Linked DNA regions of Rhinolophus ferrumequinum. Each later gene encodes a partner of the first gene's protein in a complex. Links are inferred from orthologs where the notes say so. Each region holds a gene or a part of one and is shown on either strand. Other genes may lie near its edges.

Region 1 (9,607 bases):
AAACTAACACAAAGGGCTATGCCCATGGTATCTCAATTAAAAAAAATTCAATAAAAATAAAATAAAATAACCTAATACAGACTCCTAGAAAGAGTTGTCTCATCAGAGGTTCTAAGAATGTCATCAGATACACTAAATTTGTCTTTTGTAAAATATGTGATCTAGATATTAGATGTGTTTATCACTCTGGTAAGTTAGCAGAATTGGTTAAGGTTTAGCATGAACAGATGTAGTGCTCCCTTGCTCCAGGACCACAGATGATTTCCTGCCCTGGCAGAGACCTCACAGAATGTGCCCTGGGGGATGAGCACAATAGTTTGCACCTGTCTGTGCTAATTAATCACCAGTACTAACAACAACAACAAATTGGCATGGAGACTTTCCTATGGCAGATATTGGTGTGTGTATAGACCTAAAAGGATACGTGATTTAGGGTCAGAACACCCAAGAATGAGTCAGCTTCTGCCACTTAGTTATTGGATATAATCGTGGAAAGTCCCTTAACCTCCATGAGCTTTGTTTCCTTTTGGATAAAATAAATGGAACAATAACAACCACAGCACAAGGTCATTCTGAAAATCAACTGTAAGTACAGTGTAAGTAATGTAAGTACATTGTCCAGTGTACTATAAGTACATTGAGAAAGCACTTCGTACACAGCTATTCAAAACGTGGATCATTTGTCTCGTTGTTAAGGTAATTGGCTTTCCATTGCACATCTTGCTAGTAAATCAGGTTGATTCTCTAAGTCTTTTGGAGAGTTATAATAATAATCTACAAGGGGAAAAAAAGATGCATATTAGCTATCTAATTACAGTGTTCACTCAGTCATTCAACAAACATTCACTGTATTTCCACTACGTGCCAAGTGCAATGGCAGATATTGAGGTTACAGAAATAAAAGACCACTGCTTGCCTTCAAAGACGTTACAGTCTAGTGGCTAAGAAGAGGGAGAAACAAAAATCTCATCTAAGTTCTAGTCTCTTATGGAACACTTAACATCATTTGAAGAGGATAGGTGATGGTTCCTGGAAGATATGACTCAAGCTGAGTACCTAATATGAGAAAAAAGATGCATGAACCATGATCCAGAATCAAGATAAAACACACCAAATTCTGCAAACTGAAAATAACTGAGCAATACTGTGAAGTAAGCTAATGTTAAGATAGCATGAGATGAGGCTAAAGGGTAGAGGGAATTGAGATCCTGAAGGTTTCTATATTCTCTGCTAAGAACCGAAAAAGATGGAAGACTTTTGAAAGGGGTAGTGACATGATTACAGGTGCATTAAAACAAACAAACAAAAAAACCAAACCAAACCAAAAACCACACTCTAAATAAAAGGCATAGATATGGCAAAAAAAGAAAAAAAACTGACCCTATCTTCAGGTGACCTGATTGTTTACATAGAAAACCCAATAACTAATAAAAAGGTTCAAAAAAATTGCCAATATAAGAGCAATACACAAAAACCAATTGCATTTCTATACTCTAACAATGAACATATGGAAACCAAAATTAAAAAGCACACACACTGCTTTTCACAATTTCTCTAAAGAAAATGAAATACTTAGTATAAGTCTAATAAAACATGTACAGGATCTATATCCTGAAAATTTCAAAATGCTGATGAAAGAAAAATAGAAAAGAGCTAAATACATAGAGAGACATCCTGTGCTCATGGATTGACTCAACCTAGTAAACATGTCCACATTGATTTTAGATGTAATGCAATGCCTATTAAAATCCTAGCAAGGTTATACAATTGTGTGCGTGTGTGTGTGTGTGTTTATTTATTTATTTATTTATTTATTTATTTATTTATTTATTTATTTTAAAATTTATATAAAAAGGCAAGGACCTATGAAAGCTAAATCAATTTTGAAAAAGAGTAATTAAGTGGAAGGAATAATTTTACTTGATGTTAAGTGTTACCGTACAGGTGGTCTAGTAATCAAGAAAGTGTGGTTTTAGTGAGGCGATAAACACAAATCAATGGAACGAAATAGAGAATCTAAAAATAGATAACAGAAAATGTACCCAACTGATTTTTGACAAAGTTGCAAAAGCAATTTAACATGGGATCAATAGGCTTTTCAACAAATGGTGCTGAAGCAACTGGACAGCCATAGGCAAAAAAAAAAAAAAAAAAAAAAATACAAAAAAAATACTTTAACCTAAACCTTAATACCTTACACAAAAATTAACTCAAAATAAATCATGGACTTGAATTTAAAATGTAAAATTATAAAATCTTTAGAAAAAATAGAGACACTCTTTGGGACATGGAGCTAGGCAGAGTTCTTCGAGTTGATACCAAAAGCATAACCCATAAAGGTAAAAAAAACGATAAGTTGGAACTTATCAGAATTAAAATGTTTTGATTTGCAGAAAATCCTGTGAGGAGGGTGAAAAGACAAGCTAGGAAAATAGGAAAAATATTTGCAAACAACGTATCTGACAAAGGTCAATTATGTAGAACATACAAAGAGCTCTCGAAAGTCAACAGTATAAAAACCATTTTAATAAAAATGGGCAAAAAACAGAACATATATTTTGCTGAAGAATATACAGATGGCAAATACGCATATAAAAATACGCTCAACGAAATTAGCCATTAGAGAAATGAGAATAAAAATCACAGTGAGATATTACTATATACTATCAGAATGGCTAAAATGAAAAATAGTGATACTGCCACGTTGATGACGATGCTGAGAAACCAGGTATTTTACTGGTGAGATACAAAATGGGATAGCTACTCTGGAAAATATGATGGCAGCTTCTCATAAAACTAAACATACTTATCAGACAATCCATCAATTGCACTATTGGGTATTTATCCCAAAGAAATGAAAACTTATATTAGTACAATAACCTGTATATGGATGTTTATAGCAGCTTTATTCATAATAGCCCCAAACTGAAACCAACCCAATGTCCTTCAGTAGGTGAATGATTAATCAAAGTGTGGTACTCGTCAGCGATAAAAAGAAAGAACCATGGATACATGCAACAACTTGGATGGATCTCAATGTAATTCTACTGAGTAAAATAAGACAATCTTGAAATGTTACATTATTCCTTTTATGTAACATTCTTGAATTGATAAATTATAGAGATCAGATTAGTGGTTGACAAGGGATAGAGAAGGGGAGGGAGGGAGACAGCAAGGCTAATAAAAGGTGATTCCTGTAGTGGAAATCTTCTCGTGCTTTCTGTGACAGTGCTCAAACAAATCTACACGTGTAATCAAATGACAGAACTAAGTATAACACACAAAAGTTAGTGTATGTAAAACTGGTGACATCTGAATAGACTGGTGGATTTGGTGTCCAAGTCAATTTCCTGGTTGTGATATGTTACTGTAATATGCTAGACGTTACCTTTGGGAACACGTGGTGCCAGGATTAAGGGGTCTCTATTATTTCTCATAACAGCGTGTGAATCTATCATTACCTCAAAATAGTTGAAAAAATCACTTTAGGTACAGTATAAGGACAGATTGGTGAAGAGGGTGGAATACGCAAGACTCACTGGGTCATTGGCTGAGTGTGTGTTTGTTGGGGGGAAGGAGTGAAGAACAGGACCTGGTCTGTGATGACCACCGGTTTCTCCCTGAGGCTTTGTTCATCAGGAGAGAAAACAGGACTAGACGTTTGGAGAAGAGGGATGACTGAATTCAATTTTGATCTTGCTGAGTTTACTTTCCATCAACCAAGCAGAATATATAAAATGAGAATTCCAGAAGGACGAACAGGAATCCCTGGGAAAGGGAAGCATATAACGTGTTCTGCTAGATTCTGTACATATACTCTTCATATAGCTTTCAGTGCATGAATGAATTAAAACAGCAGAGTCACCAGAGTATCACGACAAGGGAATTTTTTAACTCAGAGGCAAGAAAAAACATACAAAAATATCTGTGGGAATTCCAGATACAGGCTGGATGAAAGGATTTGCATTTCCAGTATTCATTAAAGTAAAAAGGAATTGATATTGAGTATCCTTAGAGTGTGCCAAGTTCTACATTGTTGAGAAGTATTAGCCTGTTTAATCCTCATGATAGGCCTAAAAAGTTAAGTTTTATTATCTACAGTTTCTAAACAGAAGTTAAGTAATTTGCCAAATGAAGCAAAGCCTATGAGTAATTTCTTGGGCTGGAATTTGAATTTAGATGAGTTAAACTTCTAAACCCACATTCTTTCCAGTACATCAAGAAGTTTGGAGAGAATGGGGGAGAGCAGATCGTAAAAACTTAAAACAGATTTTATATCCTTGCTTATTTAGGGGTTTTTGCAGAGTTCAACATTTATATTTGTAATTGTTCAGTTTCCTACAGGGAAGATTTAAAGGCTCTATTTTGGTTGCTTGCCCCTCCTCTACAGAATGGCCAGCCAGTATGGCACCAAATGAATAATCATGGTTCCCCACTCTCTGGATACATCTGTTATGGTGGAACCTTATAGACTGGGCTAGGAGGGGTTGATTTTCTTACAGTAATTGTCCCCTCCTTTTTAAGTAGTCCCCTCCTTTTTATTTACCAGTTAACATAGTTCTTCTTTTTCAGGTAGGCAGGCTATGTCGATTCCTTAATAAGCACCTTTCACCTCAACTAATACAAACAGATAAACAGCAGGAGTCTTCAGGTCTGTTTCCAAACTTACATGATGCATTAGTTCCATTAACTTCTACTATGGGATTTCTTAAACTTCTACGCCACTAGGCAAGTCAACAAAAAATACCTTTCTATCTCTACAGAAAAATCTTGTACATTATAAGGTTTGTTTTTCTCCGTTGGTTTTCAACATAATCTATTTTTAGTTCATATATTTTCTTTGAGGTACTCTATATGATATTTTGAAGGTTAACACATCACCCCTCTGATCTCTAGGGCTTGAAAGTCAAATCAATTCAAGACTATGTACATCATGGTCCACTTAATTTCCAACCCAAAACAGCCAAACCAAGTCTTGAAAAGGTAATTTTCAGGTAGAAATTAGACTTCTCTTCTTAATCAACGTACATGAAGCTTCACTATTTCAAAAGGCCTTTACTAGTACTATTATTCCAAATTTATCTAAATTTAATTTTCAAAGGCATTTCAACAGGAAACTGCACATCTCATCCCATAAACATCAAAATGCAGACTCAAGCCTGAGTAGTGTATCTCATATAAATACTAACAAGATGGGCAGGGAGTGGGGGATACGAGCATGATTTTGTGATCTGATCCTCTTGGCTCAGTTCATTTTGATCCTTCACCTTTCTAAAGCATCCAAACCTTAGGGATAGATTTAACTTCTCGCCGTTCACGCCATCTAGTGGTTATAAATGGTATCTGTTTGGTTTTAAGGAAGAGTCCTAATGACGGGGGGGCGGGGTACACGAGAAACAAAACGGTTGGCCGCGACAATTTCCTAGTTTCTCACCACATCACATCACTTACCCCTCACCAGGACACCTTTAACTACTTGAACCGTTTTAGATCTGCGCGCAGATGCGCAGAGAGAATGGAGGGGACGCACACACAGACTCAAGCCCCTGGACGCTGACATTTAGAAAAAGGTTCTAAATCCTTACTGTCATTCGCAAAGGACGGGAAAAGGAGTTGTGGTAAGACCTAGACCGAGGAGACTGCCTGACTTTTCGGCAAGTTGGATAGATGACGTATTTACCCCTGCAACGTTAACATCTGGTTTGAACAAATAAAAAGAAAGAGAAAGAGGAAAAGCACTTAAAAATTCCGCCGCGAGGCTTTGCAGAGCTTGCTACCCGGTAGTCCCCAGAAGACAACCAATTCCTGCGCGTTCCGCTCCGCTCACCCTCTTTCTCAGCTTCTCTTTCACCTTTTCCCACGCTCGCCTTGAACCGGGACCCAGGGAGGCAGAAGCAAGGCACCGGTCCCCGTCCTCCTCTCCTCCCCAAGCCTCCGCAGCCGAGCGCGTGCAGCTTCCCTTTGTTCATCTAGGCTCGCTCTCCTCCCCGGCAGATCCACCTGGATGCTCTCCCTCGGTGACATTTTGCGCCGGGGCTGGTGGGTGGCTGGGGTGGAGCGAGAGCAGCCCGAGGGGGCGGGGGAGGAGAAAGGTCAAGCCGAGGGAAAGGTGGGAGACGCCTTTCAGAACCTGCGTGGCGGGGCGTGCGCGCGGTTATTTATTTTCTCCTTGTTTATCGATCGCACGAGCAGAGCGGCGCGGAGAGCCCGGGGACATGCAGGACCACCCACTGGCGGGGAAGAAGCGAGACGCCCCCCCGCACCCCCGCGCTGCTGAGCGCCTCCCGCCTCAGCGCTCCGGCGATTGCCCGCGCCAGCCCCGGCCCCGCCGCGCCGCCGCCGCCCGCCCAGCAGCCCCGCAGCCCCGCAACCCCGCAGCCCCGCACCGCGCCGCTCGGGCCCCAGCGACAGCCGCGGTGCAGTAAGTTGGCAGGAGAGCGTTCCCTCTGTTCTCGCCTCCCCCGCACCTTTTGAACTTGTTGCTGCTGCTCGGCTCGCCTGCGCCTGGCTTTTGGAAGGTGAAAAGGAGGAGGGAAGCACGGAGGGATGGGGGAAGGGGAAGAAGAGCTAGCCTGAGCTTTATTTATGCTTCCTCAGCGCCTCGGATTCGGCTGCTCGCGAGCTGCTCTCTCTGCTTTTCCCTTTCCGGGTGCACCGCGAGGAGAAAGTCTCTATGCAACTCAGCCCCGGCGCGCACTTTGCCAGGTATGTACCGCGGGCGAGGCGCGTTCTTCGCGGAGGCAGATGCTGCTGCCGCCGCGGCGGCGGCGGCTGCCAGCTCCCGGGCTCCGTAACTGTCACACTGCACCTGAGCTGAACTTGAAAAGAGAGTGAAGGGGCGATTGGGCGAACGCTTTTAGCAGACGCTAGGGGTGCTTGTAGACGAGGGGGAGGAGGATCTTTATTAACGCACCCCACCGTGCCCACCGCACAGCACCTCCATCTCTGCAAATACGGCCCAAGGGGTAGAGGCAGCGATCAGATTCCCAAAGAAACGTGGGGCAGCGGCTGTGACCGCACCTGGGAAGCTACAACAGGTCGCCTTTTTGAGACTCCTTTGGCGGGAAGGTCTCCTTGGACAGGGAAGGTTTGAAAGAGCTAAAAGGGAAGGTGGAAGGGTGCCCTGATTCGTCAAAAGAATACCACTAAGTGGCTGCCCTTCGTTTTCTCTACCTTAAACGACGCATACTGACCCCACGTTAAACAGACTGTGTCAGGAGAGGAATCAGAGACACCTGTTTGAAGAAATTGCTGCATCTAAAGTCACCTGTACACTTATTTGTTCCAAGACAGGCCTGGTGTGACTGCTTGACAAGGTTTAGTTAGGTTTTGTTGGGCGTGATTGTCAGAACATTGTATGAAATACCTGTCTTTGAGGGAAACTTACCCTTCTGAGAACTGTGATTTCTCTAGGAGCTCTACCTTGGAATAAAGGTGATATCGCGGACCACAGTTCTCTGTAATATTTGTTTGACGAGAGCAAGTGGGTGATTGGGGCTACTTTGACCCACTAGGAGGCCTGATTGCCTTTCCGGCCTCCACCTCAAGGAACCATGGCGGCGGGTGTAGCAGCATGGCTGCCCTTTGCAAGGGCAGCGGCCATCGGGTGGATGCCTGTGGCCTCGGGGCCCATGCCAGCTCCCCCAAGGCAGGAGAGGAAAAGGACTCAAGATGCTCTAATTGTGCTGAATGTGAGTGGCACCCGTTTCCAAACATGGCAGGACACCCTGGAACGATATCCAGACACTCTGCTGGGCAGTTCTGAGAGGGACTTTTTCTACCATCCTGAGACTCAGCAATACTTTTTTGACCGTGACCCAGACATCTTCCGCCATATCCTGAATTTCTACCGCACTGGGAAGCTCCACTATCCTCGCCATGAGTGCATCTCTGCTTACGATGAAGAACTGGCCTTCTTCGGCCTCATCCCAGAAATCATTGGTGACTGCTGTTATGAGGAGTACAAGGATCGGAGGCGAGAGAACGCGGAGCGTCTCCAGGACGATGCTGACCCCGACAACACCGGAGAGAGTGCGCTGCCGACCATGACCGCTCGGCAGAAGGTCTGGCGGGCCTTTGAGAACCCCCACACCAGCACCATGGCCCTGGTCTTCTACTACGTCACAGGGTTCTTCATTGCCGTCTCGGTCATCGCTAATGTGGTCGAAACCGTGCCATGTGGGTCTAGCCCAGGTCACATTAAAGAACTGCCCTGCGGGGAGCGGTATGCAGTGGCCTTCTTTTGCTTGGACACAGCCTGCGTCATGATCTTCACAGTTGAGTACTTGCTTCGCCTGGCTGCAGCGCCAAGTCGTTACCGATTTGTGCGGAGTGTCATGAGCATCATCGATGTGGTGGCCATCCTGCCTTATTACATTGGGCTAGTGATGACAGACAATGAGGACGTCAGCGGAGCCTTTGTCACCCTCCGGGTCTTCCGGGTCTTCCGGATCTTTAAGTTTTCCCGCCACTCCCAAGGCCTGCGCATCCTGGGGTACACACTGAAGAGTTGTGCCTCAGAATTGGGCTTCTTGCTCTTTTCGCTTACCATGGCTATCATCATTTTCGCTACAGTTATGTTCTACGCAGAGAAGGGGTCTTCCGCCAGCAAGTTCACCAGCATCCCTGCTGCCTTCTGGTACACCATCGTCACCATGACAACACTAGGGTAGGTGCCATCAAGGGAAATGGGATGGAGGTTGGATACCTGGTGAGGTGACTGGATCCCTTAAAGTTATAAAATAAATCAGAGGAAATATGTATATTTTTCCCTTTCCTAAATGGGTTTAGGAAAGCATTATGGTTTGGAAGAACCTTTGGATCTACTAAATGGGTATGATATTGAGATTGATGTACCCAGGGAGTTGCTGGCAAATGTTGAGTATTGATGCCTGAAAGTGACACATATAACAAAGAAATTTTAAAATTCCTGAATATAGGGAAAGATCATCCATATTATATGTGTGAATACATAAAAATATAATGACATTGAAAGACACAAAATGTGTGCCCCAATAAAGTTATGAATATGCACAATATGTATTGAAATGCCTAGAGAGTGCTTCAGTATATTCAAATGAAAGTTTCCATGTATATTTGAAGTATTATTTTCATATGAATAGATACTTTTGGCATACATTTTTCCTTTAAGAACCATAGTTCTTATTTTAAATTTTAAAGTATAGATTATAGATATCATTATCAAGGGATTTTGTAATATATATGTGCATATTCATATATATATGTATATATATGCATTTTCATTATGGCTGTTAAGTAATTCGGTTTTTAGAATATCAGGGCTGAAACTGATCAACTCTACAAAATGCAATGGAATGATATTTGAAACATATTCAAGACTTTAGTTTCTTAGTTTCAAATAAAAAGAAGCAAATGACTATCATCCACACATTTTTTTTAGAAACTACAGATCCCATCAGGCAATAGGCCCAGGACCATTAAATACACAAAGAATGTAGAGCGGTATCTGGTGAGATTGATGGTCACCAAGAACTGGTTGCATTATAGAATACTGTGCAATCTGATTTCCTTCTAGCATTCTTGTGTGCATTGTTTTATTTGGGGGTAATGGTGTTTTGCCAGCAAA
Region 2 (9,660 bases), on another chromosome or scaffold:
AGAGTCCTTCTGGGTCAGATACTCTGTAAGCAACAACGCACTGTTTTGGGTCATTTCATGCAGAGGACAAGGCACATCTCCGGTGGTCCTTTTCTGCATGTGACACTGACTTCCAAAGCCTGTGTCCCCAGGCTCCTGAGGGTTGATGAGCTGAATTGCACAGCCATGCAAAGCAACAATGACCAACTGCTAAGTACGGGGCGTGGGACCCAGCCTTGCCTCCTACTGCCCTGAGGAACAACAGGATGGGCTCAAGGGCTCTACAGCCCACCCCAGGGTCTCTCAGTCTCCTGTCTGTCAGAATCGCCCAGGCCCCTTCCCTGCAGCTGCCAGCACCCAACCTCAGCGGCAGATGCTGCTCTGTAGGAAATGCCAAAGAGTTGCCATTCTACTGGTAAGTCCCCCCCGCCCCACACACTGCTGGCTCCCCAACCCCCACCACCCCTCAAGCACCGCCCTGTGGCCCACCCTCCAGGGAAGTGCTGAGAGGCTCCGAGGGAGTCACTCAACTGTGCAGAGGAGGCAGAGAACAGAAAGGCCAGATAAAGGGAAGGACTCTGGAATCTGAGCTCCTTCACCCGTCCCCCCCAACCCCCTTTTGCTTCCGCTGGAAAAAAGAAAATTGCCAACTAATTGCTCCTTGACAACCCCTGCTGGTCCTCAGTCATTTCTTTCTTGCTGAGATTATAATTAGGGAATCAGTAAATTTAAATAGGAAATCCATGAGCAGCACAGAGCCTTCATTTTTCAAACGCTGTTTCGTGCACCCTGCCAGTGGCACTTGTGGGCAGTGGTGTCAGGTCCCAAGTGCAGTGGGGATGGGGCTGTGGAGAGCATGGCCGCTGGTCCGCTGGTCTCTGCAAAGGTGCAGGAGCGAAGGCCACAGCCTGGATAAGCATGTGCCGTTCTCCAGGCTGGGCCAAGGACTTTCTAAGCCTTATGTTACTACATCCACCCTTGGAGGCAGCACTAGTTTTACTGCCATTTTACAGCTAAGGAAACAAAGGCTCAGAGAGACACTGGCTTATGCAAGGTCACACAGTAAATGACAGGAAAAGGACTTGAAGCCCCACGTGTCTGATGCATGTCATCCTGCACTTTGACTGTTTCCAACCGAGTGGGGACCTATGTCCCAGACCTGAGAAAATTCCAGGTGGTGGTCCCTCTTCTTCCCCCACCAAAGTCTGGAGACAATCACAGCCTGGCCTGGGCCTGCCTTCTCTCTTGTGCCCCCTGGGTCTACAGGTCAAGGTGAGGCTCCTGGTGGGGCTGAGAGGGAGGAAGAGAATTCTGCCCGTCCTGTGAGCTGTGCTTTCTCTCTGGACCAATAATGCTGCCTCCCTGTGGGTCCTCGCAGCAGCCTGTCTGGGCGGGAGGACCCAGAGTGTCACCCCATCTCCATTTCAGAGATGAGAAATCAGAAGCCTCAGAGAAATACAATGACTTTGCCCAAGATGCCTTAGCCAGCTACTGGCAGATAGATTTGGGACTCAGGTGCTCTCTACCTCCCTGCCAGGGCGAGCTGCTTCTCCAGGGCTCTGTCACTCTGCACGGCTGGGCTCCACCTGCAGACAGCTGGCCTGTCCAAACAGAAAACCAAAACATTGGCAGGCGGGGGAAGGACAAGAGCTCACGTCTCTTGCTCACCTGTCTCTTGCTCACCTGTGAGGTACCACTGGCTGCTAATAGAAGAGAGCTTTGGAGCCACCTGTCAGCAGTGACTTTCAGCTTTGCCTTTCTAAGCGTCACCTAAAAGAAAATTGTGGGTGTTTGTGGTAGAGATGGTATGAGGATGAACTGGGACAATGAAGCTAAAACACGGGCCCAGGGCAGTGCCCAATGTGTGTCAGTTATGGGCAGAAAGCATTGCTTGTTTCCCTGTTTAGTACTATACTAATATCATCAATGGTTCTTCTAATCCTGTGAGATTTCAGTATCTCCATTGTCCAGATGGGAAAACCGAGGCTCTGAGAGATTAGAAAGCTAGGTTCAGACCGACATCTCATAAGCAGGAGATCCAGGCTTCCAACCAGGAGCTGTATAATCTCAGGCCCACACTCACCCCCCTCACGTGCCATCTCCAGCATGGGGCAGCAGTAGGACAGAGATATCCAGGGGACGGGGGACATGTGACACCCCAGACAGATCAACCTATGCCCTGGCCACCAGGACAAGCTTCAGTGTCGGGGCTACTGTACTTCTTAGTGACCCTGCACTGTGGCAAAATGCAGAAGGGACAAGACGTCTGCACATCAAGAACAAAGATCATGACCTTGCTGCTTAGTTGGCCCTAGTTCTTAGGGAACAATCCCCCGTTGCCAGTCACCTGCTGTGGGGGCTCTTTTATTTAAGCGTAAATGAGGAAACATTTCTCAAAAATTGTGATGTATAATGAAGAAATAGTAACTGTCATGCGGGGCGGCCTGCGGGGTCTCAGCTCCCGCTCCCCACATAAAAACACAGGACAGGGTGAGGCCAAAAAGGAACACCCACGGAGCCATAGGTAGGGGAGTCATCCTGCTATATTCTCGCTGGCGGCACTATAGTCTCACTGGAGGCTGGATCCACACTGTCCGCAACCCGCTATCCTAACTGCAATCCGCGCTTGCAGGCTCAGCCACCATCTTCTTTCTAGCCCCCCTTTGCTGCTAGCGTAGCCACAGCAGTTATATTAGTGGCCAATGGCTCACTGGTTACAGCTGACGGCCAACCAGCCACAGCTGATGGCCATTTACTACCTGAGCCAGCACCTTTCCACGCGAGGCCGAGAGCTTGGAAACTGCCCTCCTGGCTCTGTCCCCACAGTGACCCTTTCTTATCCCTTCAAATCTTATGATTTTGAAAAATATGCAAGACGTGTCGCATTTCTTTCCTTACCGTTTCGATGTTTGGTCTGTCTCCTCTCTCATGTCTCTGTCTGTCTCTCTCTATGTGTGTCTTGTTCTGTCCCCCTTTCCCTCTGTGCTTCTGTCTCTGTTTCTTGGCTTGTGAATGTCTGAGTACATTAATCCCTGAAGTCAGGAGGACATTAGACTTCCTCCTTTTCTACCCTCCCCTCCCCAAGCCCGTCTCCTCGGAGCTCCGTGGCCAGCCTCCGGGGCCCAGCACCAGCTCAGCACCTCCGTGAGGGCAGCACTCTTATGCATCACTGTAATTTTCCCCTGGCTTCAGAAACTCACAGCGACGCCTCATGTTCCTAAATCTAAATAAACATCTTCCTCAGCTGGGAAAGGCAGGATCATAAATTGGTTGTGTTTTCACAAAGCAAACTTTTTTGGCCAGAAAGAGCTGTACTCTTCATCTCCTGCCTGGAAGGAGGACAGAGAGGAAAGGAGACAGAGGGCTGGGAGAATGGGCGGAAAAGGGAAGGAACAAGCAGAAAGCAGGAGAGAGGGCAATGCGCGGGGAGGAGGGAACACAGAAAAGCCCAAGAGAGTCACACTCTTCTCTCTCAGACCGTAGGCAAATAGTTTACAATTAGGATTTCCATTTCACTGACAGATAAACTGAGGCTGCAGGAAAGTCAATGGCAATATTAGGAGAAGGCAGTTTTCTTTGCAATGAACAACAGTGCATCGAGGGCAGGGAGAGAGAGGCTTCAGACTCCCGAAACCCCAGGAGCTGAAAACCACATCCCGCATTACTTTTCTTCCCACGGACAGAACTGACCTGCTCTGCTGACTTAGCTCAGTGTGCATTTGGGCTTCTGCAGATTTCCAGAGAAACAGCACATTTCCTAGGGAGTGAACACCATCACTGGAGCCTCGTTCTTTCGAGTTTTGAACACCTGGAGCCTGCTTTGCTGAAAGGGGAGAAGCTGTACCATGTTGCAGGAATCTTAGCAGGAAACAGTGGTGTTGATCACGTGTTCAGGAGAGCCTCAGACCCTTTTCCCAGCCTCCCTATGTAAGGGATGGCGGGGCGGGGGAAGCCCGGTGAAGGAGGCTCCAGTCCCGAGCCCACTGCCTGCGTCTCCTGCCGATGGTCCTCAAAGTCCTAACACCTGGGCCAGCAGCTAATCAGGCTTTCAGCTTTGCCTCGCCTGGAGAAAAGCCACATTATCTGTAAAGAGCATTTCCTGCAGCACTGGCCCTGGAGGCGGGAAGGGGAGAAGAGCATCGCTGCTCTGCCCTCTGCCGGGCAGAGCACAATTAAATCTCAGTTAACCCAAGGGCCCAGGGGCAGCATAGCAGGTTTCCTGGGCTTCAGGTTATCTGATTGGAAGCACTGGTTAGCACCACACCTTGGGAGTAGAGGAATCTTTCTGACATGTGGCCAGTAGCACACAGGCCGTCCTGGACTCCTGGCACTGGGCTTGGGGGAGCCAAGGAGCAGGATTCTGGACTCAAAATGGGCCCAACACGTGCCCAACCCTGGAGACAGGCTGTAAACATTTTCTTCTCTGATTAACCCTCGCTAAGACGATCTGTTTGTCATGTTCTCTTTTCTCCTAAAACTCAAGACGTAGGTGTCTGCCTCATCTCTGGGGTCAGTGAAGTGTCTTCTGTTTAATGAATGAGCCGGTTTGGCTGGCCAGTGCCATTTTGTGCCAACCTGTTGTCTGGGACTAACGTCCACCATCCCACCCTGGGTGTCAGTGTTGGATGGAAGCCCTCTGTATCCTGAGATAGTCCCGGGCCCCATGGCGTGTTAGACAGGCCCCTCTGGTCACCAGAATGGCCCTGTGGCAGCCTCCATATGCCCTGGGTTGGAAGGGCCGCAGGCAGAGCTGGCCCCAGGGCGGTGCTCATACTAGTCAGAGCCCTGCTACTTTCAGAGCCCACTGGCTCTGCTTGGTTTGTCTCTCTCCTTTCTATGCTTTCAAGGGTGGCAGGCAGCCTGCAGGTGGATTGCAAGGACAAGGAAGCATCATTTACACTTGAGAGAGTAAAGAGAACAGAAGATGTGGATGCCAGCCTTCCTGGAGACTCCTCGGCCCATCCCCCAAGGAGCCTGGGGAATGGCCCCCCAGCAGGACCTTCCCTCTCCTCCCACCATGACACTCTATGGAGGGAGGGCTCCTGCCCCACTTCTTTGCTTAGTCCGACCTGACCTGAGGGAAAAGGACAATATTGTGGGGAACAACAGATCTCCCCACTTTCCCTCTGGACCGAGGAAGGGGGAGAGGGCTAGGCAGAGGGTGGAGGCAGGCAGGGCTGGGAACATGCCCTGGAATTCTCCTTTATTTTTTCCCCAAAGGCAGCAGCTCCTGGAGGAAAGTTTGCAAGCACCAGTAACCAGCTGTGGTGTCAAATATTAATGGCCTCAGTTTCCCTTCCAATCCCACCCCTTTGAGTAAACACGCACCTACCCATCCCCCCATCCCCACCCATGGTGTGACCTCGGGCAGACTCCTCCCAGGAATCCACACAATTCTTATTGGTCCTCTTTTCCCACACTCCCCGCCACGGTACTGAAGTGGGAATTCCCCTGGGGATCAGGCCGGCATGTCCTTCTCAGTCCCAAGAGCAGAGGGAGGTCTTATGCCCTGAACAAAAGGGAATTGCCTGTGACTCATACCAAACCCTGCTGGTTGAGAAATCTACTTCCTGGGCTTGGGGGTTGGGGAAGTGGGGTGGAACTGGGGCCAAGGCATATGTGTGTATTGCTCACATGTGTGTATGTGTGTGTGTGCATGTGTGGGTACATGTGTGTTCAACAGTTGGCTTCCTAGTAAAACAACAACTTTCTGAGCTGAGCTTTCCCAGGACCAGAACTTTCAGAAAATCTGCTCCTAAACCATCAATCTCTCTTTCTGGATGGTCTAGTGAGACCCAAAGTCTGTTTGGGCATTTTTTAAAGGAGAAGGAAAAAAAAAGAACTAAATGAGATCAGAAAATAATTCAGCTACATGAAGTTGAGTTATCTGCTCCCACTAGCTGTCCCGAAATGCAAAGGTATTTTGTCAGGCACATTCAAAGACGCCTTGGGAGGCCTCGTCTACAGCCCCAAGTTTGAGTTCGCAGCTCCCTCATCCTCCTGGGTTTCTAAAGCCTCAGGGAGAGGCCACAGCACCTGTTACTCTGCTGCTTGTTTTCAGATGCAGTTCTGTGGGTGGTTATAATCGGGATTGTCAGGCTGGATCTTAAGGGAACTAGAAGTGAATCAGTTTCGATTTTTGTTTTGCATTTTTTTGTTGTTGCTATCATTTTTCCCAAATGGGAAATAGAAACCGGACATAAACAAAATGGGGAACTGAGACTCACCACATGATTTTTGCCCTTTTTTCACTTTGATAGAACAGGAGTGGAGAACAAAGGCACTTTCTCATGATACAACTTAACTTTCAGGCAACAAGGTCATTGTTTAAAGCAAGCAAAGGAAGGCAAAGGTTTGTCGTAACCTATTATCTCACCAACCTGTCTTATTTAATTTTCCCCCAAAACTCAATGACATAGGTCCTTGTGTCCCTATGTCATGGTGGGGAAACTGAGGCTGAGAGGGGAAATGACTTGTCCAAGGTCATACATGTAGAGATAAGTGCTAGAGAAAGGATCCAAAATCTGATCTATTGCCAAGCTTCTGTTTTCCATGTTCTCACACTGTCCGTCCCCACCCTCTTGCTCTCACCCCAACCCTTTGTCTCTTCACCCAGGGTCCCTGAGGGATTGTGAGAATCCTGGAGCAGGAGGTAAGGGCTAGCTCTGGACAGTTTCCAGGCAAGGCTGTTCTCTGTCCCTCTGCCCTGATTCTGAGATGCAGACTGGGGCCAGGGTGGCCACCTTGGTTTGTAAACAGCAACGTACCTGGAGCTCAGGACAAAAGTTGTCTTACCTGACACCAGGTTGTCTCACTTGAAACCAGGTGGTCAGAGGAGAGGACCAGTCAAGGTGGTGCTGAGGGCTCAATGCAAAGACATTCCAAAGACAAACTAATTCAAAACAATGCACACACCTGGTGTTTATTTATTCACTCACCCGTTCACTCACTAGACAATTCCTTATGCCTCTCACGTACAATGAAATCCAGACTTCTTTCCGTGGCCTGCGATACCTGCATATTCCCATCCCTGTGGACCTCTTCAGCCTCACCTCCCACCCCACTCCAGCTTTCTCTGATCTTTGCAAAGCTCATTCCCACATCAGGAGTTTCTGCCCCTTTTTGTTTGGCTGTTCCTTTCTTACTATTTGGGTCTCATCACAAATGCCACCTTCTCGTAAGGTGACCTGACAATTTCTTCTAAAGTGGCACCCTTTGTGACATCACTCTGGTTAATTTACTTTACAGTATGTCTCACTCATCTGTCTTGCTCGTTCGCTTCTTTTATTTGCATTGTCTATGCTCCACACTAGAAAATAGTGTTAGTGACAGCAAGGCCCTCACTTGTCTGGTTCTTCTCTGTATCTGCAGAGCCTGGAAAAATGGCTGGCACACTGAGGACATTCAGAAATATTCATAGGATGGATGAGTGGGTAGATGGATGAATGGCTAGATGAATGGGTGGAGGGATAGAGAGGGATGGATGGATGGATGGATGGGTGAATGGATGGATGGGTGGATGAATAGATGCATGGATAGATGGTTTCTTCTATGTACCAGGTCCAAGTGGAGATGTAGAAGTGAATAAAATACTGTTTCTTTGCTCAAAGAATTCACTGTGAAGTAAGGGAGATCTTCTCATAGTCAGGTAGCTATGACTTGGTAGAGTACAAGGTTTAGAAGAAAGAAGCACATTTGGGGTAGAAAGGAGGAAGGGATCCATTTTTGCTGCTGGATGATAATCTGGAAATATGCTTAAGGAGATGACATTTTGAGCCACGAATGATAAACGGAGAGAGTCAGATGATCAGTGAAGTTCAGAGCCTTCCCTGGGGCCCAGGAAAATGCAAAGGGGCTGAACACAGCCTTACCTAGTCTGGAAACTGTAAGCTGTTTGCTGTGGTGGAGACATGGGAAAGGAAAGTTCTTGTGGTGTCTGCTGCTGCAGCGCCAGTGTTTTGCATCTAGTTACTCTACCATTGGTACTCAGTATTACTCAGTAATACCCAAGAATAGGTACTCAAGAATTATTTGTTGAGGAAAGGAATAAAAGGAGAGAAGTAAGCCTGGCAAGGCTGACCAGAGAGTCAGGTAAAGCGAAGCTAAAGAGGTTAGATTTAGCTGGAGGACAGTGGGAAGTCATAGAAGATTTGATGAGTTGTGTGTTTCTGCTGCAGCACAGGAAATGTGTTGGGGAAAGTCCAGGCTGAAGCATGAAGTGCTGGCGGGGGGACGATGGCAGTAGTTCAGGTGAGAGGAGTTGAGGGTCTGAACCACATGAAGATGGCTGATAAGAGGGGGTGAAAGAGACACCAGAGATCTGAGGAAGAGGGAGTCGACAGAATGGCATCCTGGATTCTTTGTGGATGAGGTATGGAAGGAGGGAGTGAAAGGAGAGGAAGGCGCCCAGGTCTCCAGCTCGAGTGACTAGATGCTAGTACTGAAATACACCATGTGTGGATGGGGATGGAGGTTCTCCACGACACTAAGTTTGCGTGTCAGGACTCCTCACTTTTATTGGCCACTTTCAAGAGCCTGAAACTGATTTTGTATTCACGCTTTCACTCTTCTTAAAGACTCCCTTTCTGCCCAATTATACAAACTTCAGGCCCCACCAATCCTGGATTCTCTTCTGAATATAGAAGGGGATCAATCTTCGGGAAAAGATTATAAGTTCCAATTGGGATCTGTTGAGTTTGAGGTGGATGAAGAACCTCCAGGTGGAGATGTTCCACAAGGAGCATAGTGTGGTGGTTAGAGTGTGGGTCAGGGTTCGAATCCTGGCTTCGAGCAGTGTGAACTTGGGCATGTTGTTTGACATCTCTGTGCTCCATAAAATGAGCATGGATAATAATAATAGTACCACCTTCTTAGGGTTGTTGTAAAGATTAGATGAGACAATGTATATAAAGTGCTTCAACAGTGCTCAGTGCATAATAGGTCCTCAAAATAAGTTACACGTCAGCTCTTGGTATTATGTGGGGGAGTGCAGATCTGGGAGTCATCAGTGATGAAGGCCTTGGGAGGAGTTGGATCATGAGGAAGCATGTGTTAGTGCATGATAAGAAGGTCAAGGACAGAGCTTTGACGTTGATTATGGTGACCAGAGGAAGGGGAGCTACCAATGAGGCTGACGAGGATCAGACAAATGGGTGGAGAGTGGGGGAGCAGAGTGGGTCCTGGAAGCCAGAAGAGGGGAGACTGTCAGCAGGCACTTGGTCATGAGTGTCACCTGCTGCTGAAAGTCAAGGCCACTGGTGTGGGTGGGCCTTGGGGAAGTCACCGATGAGCTTGTCAAAGGGCGTTAGGCATAGTTGGGCACTGAGAAGTGATTGAGGGTGCAGATGGCAAGTGTGGAATGTCCTTGGGAGAACTCTGGCCACGGGAAAAAGAGGAGCACAGAGGAACTGTGTGGTGGTTGGTTTGGTTTGCTTTTGGTTCATTGTTGAAAGATGAAATTCCCAGGCTTTGGGGGCTGTGAAGAAGAGTTGGTGAAGAAGATCTGGGAAAGCAAGGAAGTAATTGATGGAAAAATATGAATGTCTGAGAAAATTAAGAAGGGGAGAATGAAGGACAGAGTGAGGAGTCAGCCCTGAATAGCTCTCTGAGTCGGGAAGGAAGGGGCGAGGGTGGGAAGGTTATAAATAAGGCTGTAGGTGCGAGGACAGGAAGTGGGGGCGT
Region 3 (9,708 bases), on another chromosome or scaffold:
ATGGTCCCTCTTCTGCCCTGTGCTCAGAGCTTCTCCCAGGAAAAGCTCAGCCTCCCTGTAGTCCTGCCAGTCCGCCTGCATCCTGGCTGGAGGCTGAGCCCAGGACACACAGGCCTTGCACCTACTTCCCATGTCCTCAGACCTCCCGCTCTGGGCAGAAATCGCATCAGCCCAGCTTTTACTGCCCCGTGCCGAGTCCATGATAAAGACGCTGGAGTTTAGCTCATCTGTCTTGTGCTAAACACAGCCCGTCTCTGACCCTGACATGACATTGCTGGGATTTTGGATTTCCCCGGGGTACAGAAGACATGCTCTGGGGTGACTTCATTGGCAAAAGGGAAGCCATTAGTGTAAGGAGATAGCAGAGTATTTTTAGGGGGTGGTTAGCAAGTCTTGAAGTTGATGTGGGAGAACTACCGGCAGCCAAGAGTTAACAAAGAGAGTAAGTTACTGGGAGATGAAGAGGGCGGTGCAGGAGAGAGGAGCTCTTTCTCAGGCTCCTTGGCACTAGCCTCTGGCTTACTCACTTCTCCTTATATCTGTACCTCTGGCGCAGGGAGCAAAGAGGGTCTGGTTGGGTTTGGAGCTAATGAGCTTGAGCTGCCTGCTGTTCGCCATGCTGCCCTTTCCTCTGCTTCCAGCCTGGCCACTTCATTAAGCTTCCCACAGCAAAACAGAAATCGAAGGAAACCTCCCTGAACTTTGGGGCCCAGCACAAACATTCTTTTTCTCCCTTCCCCTCACCCCCCAGTTTGTCTGTCATACAACGTTCACATCTATTTCCCATGAACGAATCTCCTTCCAGAGTTTGCTGGATCGCTCTTAGAAAGCACTTAGAGTGGGGAGGTTGGCCCTCTGGCCCTTCTCCACAGGTCTTTTCCCCGCTGACAGGCACCGCTTCCTGCAAGGTTCTCCATCTACGGGTAGAAAGCATGTTAGATGAGCGGGGGTGGGGGACACAGCACGGGTATACCCCAGACTTGCTTCGAAAGTGGGGAGGCATCTTTGTGGTATGGAAAGAGCGCCAGACTAGAAGTTAAGAAACCTGGGTCCTGCCCCAAGCCTGGGACTCACCAGCTGTGTGACCTGATCCTGGTCATTGGCCTTCTTGGGTTGTTTGCCTGCCATCTATGCCAGACAAGGGCTGCATCTCTACATGTTCTTTCCAACCCCAAAAAGTAGATCAGTACAAAGGGGGAGTGAGGAGACCAGAAACACATCCAAAGGGAGGTAGCTCCAGAGCGTGAGTCTGCTAGTATCGGTTTCTCCTGCTCCATTAGACCACTGACCAGTCCCTTCACCTGGCTGCATGGCCGAGGCAAGGCAGACGCCCTCCTTCCCTGTCTGTGCTTGCTTCTGCCTCTGCCGATGCTCACATGCTCATCTTGTATTCACTACAGTTTGTCTCTCAACCTCTCTTCTTCTCACAATCACGGAACTGTTTGCTCACTTGCCTGCAGGGAGGATAGCTGTTAAGGGTTGATTTCCTAAGAGAGAAACTTCTAACACTGCATTTTGGCCTTGTGCCTCAGGCACTGCCCTCTACTGTTTGTAACTGACTCTCCTTTCTCTCTGCCTGTGCCCTCCTACTTTTCCCTCACCCTTTCCCAGGTTCGATCCATTAGCACCAACGTCCGGAGAAACCTGGCCTTCCACACACTCAGCCAGGAAGTCCTGCTCAAGGAGTTCTCCACTATCTCCTGAGGCCACGCGTACCTGAGCAGCCACTGACTGCCCTTACCCATGAGGCTTCTGGGCTGGAGGGGGAGTGAGGGGACGGGACAGGGGGCTGTCCCCAAGGTTGCAGAACAACACAGATACTGAGTTCTCTCGGTGAAGGCCGCACTTCAGTGGAGCTTGGACAGCAGGGGCCAGGAGGGACAAGCCAGGGATAATCTTATTGGGGGAGGGGTGGGTGGGCACAGGGAGAAGCCTTTAAGAACGTGGGGACTTCCAGGGTGGGCTCCCTGGACACCCCCTCATATTTCCAATTGAGATTACAAGTGGTGACTAATGTCTAATTTTCAGGATCTGTTAGGGCAAGCATTAGGGTGCTGCCAGCCCCCTGAGGGTCAGTGGCTCTCCTAGGCTTCTGAAAACAGACTAACTTCCGGATGGACGTGGAACCAATTCTGCTTCCTTTAGGCCTGGGGCTAAGCTGGGCTTGACATTTGTATCCCCTGCCTCCGCTGGCACTCTGTCCAATTCTTAGGACCCTTAGCTCAGGCGTAGGATAGGGTAGGAATGGGGTCCCTTATTTCTGTTTTCTAAATCCAGAGCTGATTCCCCTGGGAGACTGGAGATTAGAATCCACCCAGTTCTCTGCTGCCTGGCCACCACCTTCTGGATTTGATTCTTGCTACCAGGAGTACCTGTTAGCTTTCCCCTGCCTTCCAACCCATTGACTCATCAGCACTATAGGGTCACAACCTCAGCTTTTCATTTTCAATCTGGTTTCAACTGTCTTTAGGGTGTGTGTGTGAAATAAACATTGACAGGTTTTTCTGGAGCCCTCAGGTGCCTACTTTGCTGGTCCTCTTTCCAGCAGCTTCCCCACCTCCCTAGCCACCCAGTGCTCTGGAAGCCTCTCCTCCCTCCCCGTGTTCCACCCCCTCACCCTGCTGTTGTTTACATCCAGCCTGCCTGAGAATTTCCTCTGGGGAAGAATCTGTTCCTGCTGTGGTTTGGTGCCTGGGAGGGAGAGAACCTACTGGGGGCAGCTATCCTCCATCTGCAAGAGGCCAGGTGAGCATCATGGAGAGGCTACTGGTATTCTGGGCGGAGCCACAGGCAAGGCTCCTGACATTTGGGAAGTTGGCCTGTGAATCCTCCTCTGGACAGCCTCCCTGGGACCGCTGTAGGCTTTCCTTACCCCACAGCTGCCCCTGAAGTAGCTGCTGCTCTGAGATCCTCCCTTTCTAAAGTACTTTCTAAAGCCCGCAGGATGGCAGGGAACAAACAGCACAGGAAGAATCTGGAAGTGCAGGAATCCAGCAGTGAAAGCAAGTCTGGGACCTCCCCAGCTGCTATTCCTCTTCAACTTCAAATCTCTTTGGGATGCTTGCCCTCCCTGGGAACCAGAGTTCTGGCTGCAACATTGAGCAGATATGCACTATTACCAGAGAATCTACCAACATGCTGCCATGTAAAGATTCTTATAGAGATCAGAGGCTGGGTCCTTCTGATCACTGGCTGGATAGTTCAGCTTGGGGCATTTAGTGTTTTCCACAATGATAAACCCTAGAGGAACTGGAGCTGGAAGCTGGTGGCAAGTTGAAATTATTAAAAATTGATTTGTATGGGACAGTCTTTTTAGTGTCTTTTTTTTTTAATCTCCGTTACCCAGTACTCATTTCTCAAAGACAGAGTTAAGGTCATCTTCCAGGTGCTGGTCCCATCTGGCTAGGGGACCCCTGCCTATCCTTATAGACTCTCATCCTGAGTCTTCTGGGCACAGAAAATCAGTTCGGTTCAGGAAGGTGTAGCCTCCCTTGCATTCTCAGTGGAAGGAGGGAGAAGAGAATTCCCTAATCACCAAACTTGGTGTTGAAGAGGCCAGCCAGCCTATTTGGGGTGCTTACGGATTCCTGCCAATCTTTCCGATGAAGTGAATAAGGGCAGGTCTAGGGCATGAGGCAATAAGCAAAGGATGTCTTGCCCTCCATGGTAGGGCCCACCTATCTCTGACCCATTTACATACACCTTATCCTAAGAACTCCAAATGAGTCCCATTCTCTTCTAGAGTTCAACCCCAGAAGGAGCTTCTATGCTCTGTCCATGCCCCAATGTCTTTCCCAAGTCTGGAAGATCTTTCAGTGCCAGGGGAGAGCCAGGAGCAGGGCATTGCTCCCAAAGATAGTGTCCTTTGGCTGCTTGTCCCTCTCTCATGCCTGAACTCCCACTATAATTCCTCCTGGGTTAATTGAATCAAGCGCTTGGAAATTAAATCCAATTAAAGAGATTAAATGTATTGGGGTTACTTTAGCTGAAGCTTTCAGTCACCACAGGTTACTCCTCCAGAGGAGCCATTGGGCGGGTAGGGATTACTTGGGATACTGCCACCTTACTATCCAGACCCCCCAGACACTTCCCTCCCCTCCGTCCTCATGGTGGTGGGTGGGGGGCCCTTGCCTAGGATCCCAGGCAGCCTCCTGGGGAAGGTCGGACAAACAGGCTCAGTCAGTCAATAGCCATTCCCGGGAGCCAGAGGTAGTCAGCTTTATGCAAGCCTCTGACTTCAGAAAAGGAGCTCATCTAAGGGAATGGGGCTCATAACAAGAACATGTATTCCCCACTTTGGATCCTCACCCTTAGTCGCTCCCCAAATCTTACTTAAACAGAAGGAATCTAGGACTGAGCATGTGACGAGAGAGAGAAGGGCAGGAAAGTTGGGAAAACACACAAAGTCTTGAGAAACTGATCTGTTTCACTCTTTTCTTCCCAGTTGGCCCATGGGGGTCATTAGATCAGGGAAGAAGGTGCTCAAAGTGAATGGGGCCCAGAGCCAGGGTCCTGGAGTGAGTGAGGGTTGGGGTCCTTCTGAGGTAAGAGAAAAGTAGTCCACCGGCTTGAGATGAGCCTTGTTGGAGGCCTGGTCGTCCTTTCCTCTGCATCTCCAGCCCCTCCACGCAGGGTGAGCACTGGCCGGAGCCACAGAGACCCATAAACGGGAGAACAGGAGAATATAGGGGCTAACGTGGAGACTGACGAACGGGGGACTCGGACACATACCCCGAGTGCCTTTGAATTGAGGGCGGGGTTTCCTCACTGTGGGGCCTTTCTGACCCTGCTATCCTGTACCCCAAAGACCCATGGCTTCAGGTTTAGGGGGTAGTGTTGCTGAAGAGCCATTCTCCCTCACTGCTCTTTCCAGCTTACCCTTTCACCGGGTGCCTCCCCCGAGCTGCAAAGAGGAGGGGGCGGGGGTAGGGGGAGCCAATCCCGGCAGCGCCAAAGGGGGGAGGCGGCGGTGACAGCCGCGGGGAGGGGGCGGGAGGAGAGAGGCGGCTCTGCTCCGGCTCTGCGCTCAGCTCGGTTCTGTCTCCGGCTCTGCTCTCACCTACTGCCCAAGCCTCGCTCCTGCTCCTGCCCCACGACCCCCGGGTGGGCCTTAGACCCCGACCAGGTCCGCAGAATCTCAGCCCCAGCCGGGACTGTTCCGGCCCGCAGCCCCTGCAGCACGCTACGCCGCCAGGGGGCGCCGTGTGAGCGCCCTATCCTGGCCACCCGGCGCCCCCTCCCACCGCCCAGTAGGGACGGGAGTGGGGCGCCGGGGGCCATGCGGGGCCAGGGTCGCAAGGAGAGTTTGTCCGATTCCCGAGACCTGGACGGATCCTATGACCAACTCACCGGTGAGTGGGTGAATTGGGGGTCGCGGGAGGGAGGGTAGATTACATCCCCCCAGACCCTTAAGCCTCTGACCCTGGCCAAGCCCTTACCCACACTCTGCCCCATTTCCAAGCACCCTCCCGGCTGTTCTGGGCCCCAGGACACTGGAGTTCAAAGCTTGGGTCCCACGGGTTAGGGGTGGTGGTGGTGGCAGGAGGTGGGAAGAGCAGGTGGGCAGGTGGAGAGAGGCAGCAGGTGTGGGCGGGTGTGACACCATGCTAGGAGGGTGTCTGGAGTGGGAGGTGGTACGTGCGTGAGCGCCTGTCATTCTTTGTGTGTGTCTGTGTGTATATGTGTGTGTGCCTCCCACAGCTGGTTGCCATGTGCCCTGGGCTTGGTGACAGCCAGGGTGAGTGTGATTATATGTGGCTGTGCAATTGCATGATCTTGTCAGATGTTTGAGTGAGGTTGTGTAGCACCCTGATTGTACTAATGAAGTTGTTTTGACTATGTGTTTCTGTTCTATGTGCAACTCGACTTTGAGTGTGATTCTGTGTGAAGTGGCATGTGACTTCCAGAACGTGTTAGGGCTTCACTTTATGATGACCTGTCTCTTTGTAAGACTTTGTGAACCTCCTGGGGCAAGGTGGGTTGTGTTATGTTTTGTGATTGTGAGACTGTGCGGATTATGTTGACATTTGATGCTGATTGTGTACTTTCACGTAGTGGAGTCTTCAGTGAGGCTCTGTAAGTGTCTGTGGTATGTCTTACCCTAGCTACTTCTCTGGCTTCCTGGTGCAGAAGGGGGTCTGTAGTGCATACCACTGCTTCCCCCATGTATTCTACAAATAGCCCAGGTGGACCCAATGAGGGACTCTAGGGTCCAGCTGCCCAGCCTGGTCCCCAGGAGCAGCACCTGGACAGTGAGGAGGTTTTGGTTAGTGCTGGGTCAGCCCCCCTATAAAGTACTCAGAGATCATTCTTACAACTGAAGCTCTTTCAACCCCCCAACAACCCTCCCAAACTTCACCCAAACCTGGAGGAAAGCACACCCTCTGGCCCCCCCTCCAGACCCAGAGATAGAAACTCTAGGCCTGGGAGGTGCCATATGGCCTCCCTTTATAAGTGACCCCCCCAAACCACTTTGCTGCCCAGGCATCCTCTCTCTCTCCCCCACATTGGGGAGGTATGTGAGACTAGTACATCTGTGCCTGTGCACATTCCTGGGTTGGTAGGCAGATCCATGTTTTTGTGTGGGTGACACCATGTGCACATTTCCATGTTCGTGTGTGTTTCTGTCTCTCATTGTACAGCCTGCCCAAGAACTCCAATAGAGAATGGGAGGAGGAAGACCGTCTCACCTGTGTCTGAAACAAGTAGGGAGGTGGAGGGAGGATATGATCCTTGTCTGTCCTGAGCGGAGTGAGGTTAAGACTTAGGGATGGGGGAGAAGACTAGGATTTAATGCGTTTAGAAAGTGTCTCCCGCACTCACTGACCCTGGTGTGGTCCTAGTTCCAAAGCCAAGACTCTCAGAAGGGGGAGCCTTTCCACCCAGGCAGACCCCAAATGTGTCTCAAACTTGGATGGACTTTAATGGTCCAACTGTCTAGCTCTGCTTTGAACTCTGTTCTCATCATCTCAGGATCCTTGACAGTTGTAAGAGCCCCAGGGCCCTCCTCAGCACCACATTACTCAGTGTTTACTTCCTGCTTTGATTCTCTCCTTTACTGGACTCATCCCCTATCCACTTGGCTATTTGAATCAGAGATTAATTAGGTGAAGGAGGGAAGCACTTGTATTGGAAGGTGCAGGAATGGAAGTGTGAGTACCAGTTATGTATGACTTTTGCTCTCTCTGGGCCTCACTTTTCTCATCTGTATAATGGGGGAATACTACTTCCTGCCTGCCTCCCAAGGGAAATAGAAAGGTCAAATATTGACAAGCGTCAAGGATCGTTTTCCACATCATGAGCCTCCTCTCTGTAGATAGCTCTACACACGATTTGGAAAGAAGAAATAGGACTACCAGGAGCTCTCCTTTCCAAGGAGGGCTTATCTTTTATAGCAGGAGACAAATGGGGTTGGGACGCCCCCTATGTTAAAGCTCAGGGTGCTCAGGGTTCTTGGAGACGACCTGAGCAGAAGCCTGAAGGGGAGTCGTTGTCCGCGGTGCTGAAGAGCGCTCCGGGAGGAGGTGCAGCCCAGCCACGGAGATCCCAAGGTTCCTTCTGTGTGCAGGTGGGATTCCTGGGATTGGATATGGGGGATAGTCTTTGGCTCCCATAGTCCCAGCCCATCAGGCTGTTAGGGAGGGGGCCCTAAAGTCATACCTCAGGGCATCCTGGGTTCTTCCGACCGCTTTCCTTACCCACTCCCATGCCAGGCTCAAAACAAAGATGGGGAAGACTTTTAAAGGGGAAAAAAGTCCGTGAGCCACCCCGCCCTGCATCTAACCCCTCTGGTCTTCCCAGCCCTGCAGAGCAGCTTGGCAGCGCGCGGGGTGGGAAAGGACAGCGGATCAGCGGTGTTTCTGTCCAAGCTGGAAGCAAAGAAAGGACTGGAGAAGATGAGACAGTTGGGACCTGGCTGGCCAACGCCTGAGCTCGGATCCCTGGGCCTGGGATCTTGGAGTCGCGTTCCTCTGGCCATAAATATTGCTCCCCGGACTGGGGCGCCCCCGTGTGGTCTTAGAAGAGCCATGCCTGCAGAGTTGATTCTGAATGGGGATGTCTCCAAATCAAGTGGCAAGATTTGCATGGAGTTCAGAGGTGATTCTCCAGAAGCCTCGTAGATGTAGGATTTTAAGCCAAAAATACGGGATCCCATTCGGAGGACTGGGATGTACCTGCTGTAGGTTAACCCAGCAGTCTGGAGGCGTTAGTGGGTCTTGGAAGGGGTTTACTTTGCGTGTAACGAGATAGGGATGAGTCCGGGAAAGGGGTCAGGGCCGGGAATGAAGGGAGGGGAGCTTCGTGACGCATTTGGCTGGCAATCAGCATATGATGGGAGAGTCTGTAAATGCACTGGAGCAGGACAGAGGGACACAGAACAGAATCAGCTATGAGAAAAAGGGATTCGGTGCAGGAGACCGAGACCAGTAGGGACACATCCCTGCCGCCTCTTCTTTGTCACTCATATACACTGGCCAGTTCCTCCTCCTCCTTTCTGCTCCCTCTCCCATTGGTCCCGGAAGTATGGAAGTGTGGGAAGTTTCCATGACAACTGTGGCCTCTTACCCCTTCTCATTTCTACCAAAATGGGAGGAGGAAGGGTGTGAAAGGCAGAGAAGGAGGGGCTGAAGAAGGGCAGTGAAAGATAAAAATTCATTTCCCCTCCACCTCCTTTCTCAAAACCTGTGAGTGCCCCCTTTCCTCACCAAAAATCCTGAAAATGTTCCAAAAAAAGGCTGTAAGGAGAGTCCGCGCTGCCCCCGCCCATCCCTCGCCCCAGTCTAGGAACTTTGGGGGCGGGTGCTTCAGATGATGGGGCCAGGGTGTGTCCCGCTCGTGCGGCCAGGAGAAGGCAGGGAACGGAACGAGACTGCTGTCTGAGATCCTGGTCCTGCCGGTCCGGCCCTCCCGCGCCGCCCACGCAGGGCCCACTCGGGTTGGGGCGGAGACCCGACCACCCCGGGCCTTGGGGGCGGAGCTTGGCCACTGTGCTCTCGGCGGAACCATGAACCATTGCCCCCGCAGGTGCCGGAGCCCATTGGGGCAGGCAGCGCGATCCCTCTACCAGCTGGTGACTGGGTCGCTGTCGCCAGGTATGAGAAATGGAAGAAGGGGCTTGACCCCTCAAAAAGTGAGCGAAGTGGGATAGGAGCCTTACAAAGGTGGGGAGGGAAAGGGCCCCTCACAGATGGAGCAGGATGTCTCAAAGGAGAGGATTTAAAGGGCAAAACCCCTGCCAGAAATGGAGCTGGGAATAGGATCCCTTACAGAGCAGGTGGAGGAGACAAGAATCCTCGAGAGGAAAGGAAAGGCGGCGTTCTTGTCCCTCACAATGGTAGAGGAGGGGGCAGGGCTTCACACTGAGGTAAGAGGAGGGGGCCTCAAGCAGGTGGATGTGAGGGGCAAAGCCCCTCACAGGGACAAAAGGAGGAAGCTTGTAGCAGAGCAGGAAAAAGGCACAGCCCTTTTACTTAATTTAATGGGATCTTAAGATGACTGGGTGAGTGTCCAGAAAGTAAAAGTCCTGATGTGGAACTGGACCAACATGAACTCAGCTAGTGAGTTCATGCATGAAGGGATGGATAGACTTGTGTGGCATAAGGATTGTATGTCACCATTTTGTCTATCTGCGAGTCTGTATTAACGAGGTTGTGATTACTGGGGTTGTGTTTCCCTGCGGTTGCATATCCTTGGGATTCTGTGACACTG

The links.
Region 2: the proteins of KCND2 (region 1) and KCNIP1 are in contact, whole or in part, in a cryo-EM structure (PDB 7E8E), measured with the Homo sapiens proteins. The link is inferred for Rhinolophus ferrumequinum from reciprocal best matches to the Homo sapiens genes KCND2 and KCNIP1. Residues at the interface, in NP_036413.1 of Homo sapiens: Ala2, Val5, Ala7, Trp8, Pro10, Phe11, Ala12, Arg13, Ala14, Ala15, Ala16, Ile17, Gly18, Trp19, Met20, Pro21, Val22, Ala23, Ser24, Gly25, Met27, Ala29, Pro30, Gln33, Arg35, Lys36, Arg37, Thr38, Gln39, Asp40; in NP_001030009.1 of Homo sapiens: Thr60, Arg62, Glu63, Val66, Leu67, Arg69, Gly70, Phe71, Asn73, Glu74, Phe85, Ile88, Tyr89, Gln91, Phe92, Tyr101, Leu105, Phe109, Phe122, Leu126, Leu129, Leu130, Lys137, Thr141, Leu144, Tyr145, Val162, Ile165, His185, Phe189.
Region 3: the proteins of KCND2 (region 1) and KCNIP2 are in contact, whole or in part, in a cryo-EM structure (PDB 7UKH), measured with the Homo sapiens proteins. The link is inferred for Rhinolophus ferrumequinum from reciprocal best matches to the Homo sapiens genes KCND2 and KCNIP2. Residues at the interface, in NP_036413.1 of Homo sapiens: Val5, Ala7, Trp8, Leu9, Pro10, Phe11, Ala12, Arg13, Ala14, Ala15, Ile17, Gly18, Trp19, Met20, Pro21, Val22, Ala23, Ser24, Gly25, Pro26, Met27, Pro28, Ala29, Pro30, Trp55, Asp57, Arg61, Arg100; in NP_775283.1 of Homo sapiens: Arg112, Gly113, Phe114, Asn116, Glu117, Cys118, Val123, Phe128, Ile131, Tyr132, Gln134, Phe135, Phe136, Tyr144, Leu148, Phe152, Phe165, Leu169, Ile172, Leu173, Arg180, Trp183, Ala184, Leu187, Tyr188, Met201, Met205, Ile208, Met211, His228.

What each region holds. Positions count from the first base shown.
Region 1 is NC_046309.1:23,541,293-23,550,899, reverse strand, and holds the start of KCND2 (potassium voltage-gated channel subfamily D member 2), read left to right. Parts: upstream 1-5,445; 5' UTR 5,446-5,618; intron 5,619-6,356; exon of another isoform or gene 6,357-6,518; intron 6,519-6,597; 5' UTR 6,598-7,553; coding exon 7,554-8,668; intron 8,669-9,607. UniProt on the Homo sapiens protein: Voltage-gated potassium channel that mediates transmembrane potassium transport in excitable membranes, primarily in the brain. Mediates the major part of the dendritic A-type current I(SA) in brain neurons.
Region 2 is NC_046307.1:36,987,824-36,997,483, reverse strand, and holds the start of KCNIP1 (Kv channel-interacting protein 1), read right to left. Parts: upstream 3,933-9,660; 5' UTR 3,670-3,932; intron 1-3,669. UniProt on the Homo sapiens protein: Regulatory subunit of Kv4/D (Shal)-type voltage-gated rapidly inactivating A-type potassium channels. Regulates channel density, inactivation kinetics and rate of recovery from inactivation in a calcium-dependent and isoform-specific manner.
Region 3 is NC_046299.1:23,020,579-23,030,286, forward strand, and holds the start of KCNIP2 (Kv channel-interacting protein 2), read left to right. Parts: upstream 1-5,000; 5' UTR 5,001-5,185; exon of another isoform or gene 5,186-5,267; 5' UTR 5,268-5,278; coding exon 5,279-5,351; intron 5,352-6,746; exon of another isoform or gene 6,747-7,567; intron 7,568-7,800; coding exon 7,801-8,097; intron 8,098-8,131; exon of another isoform or gene 8,132-9,004; coding exon of another isoform or gene 9,005-9,092; intron 9,093-9,708. Other genes in the region: ARMH3 (armadillo-like helical domain-containing protein 3), read left to right, coding at 1,612-1,704. UniProt on the Homo sapiens protein: Regulatory subunit of Kv4/D (Shal)-type voltage-gated rapidly inactivating A-type potassium channels. Modulates channel density, inactivation kinetics and rate of recovery from inactivation in a calcium-dependent and isoform-specific manner.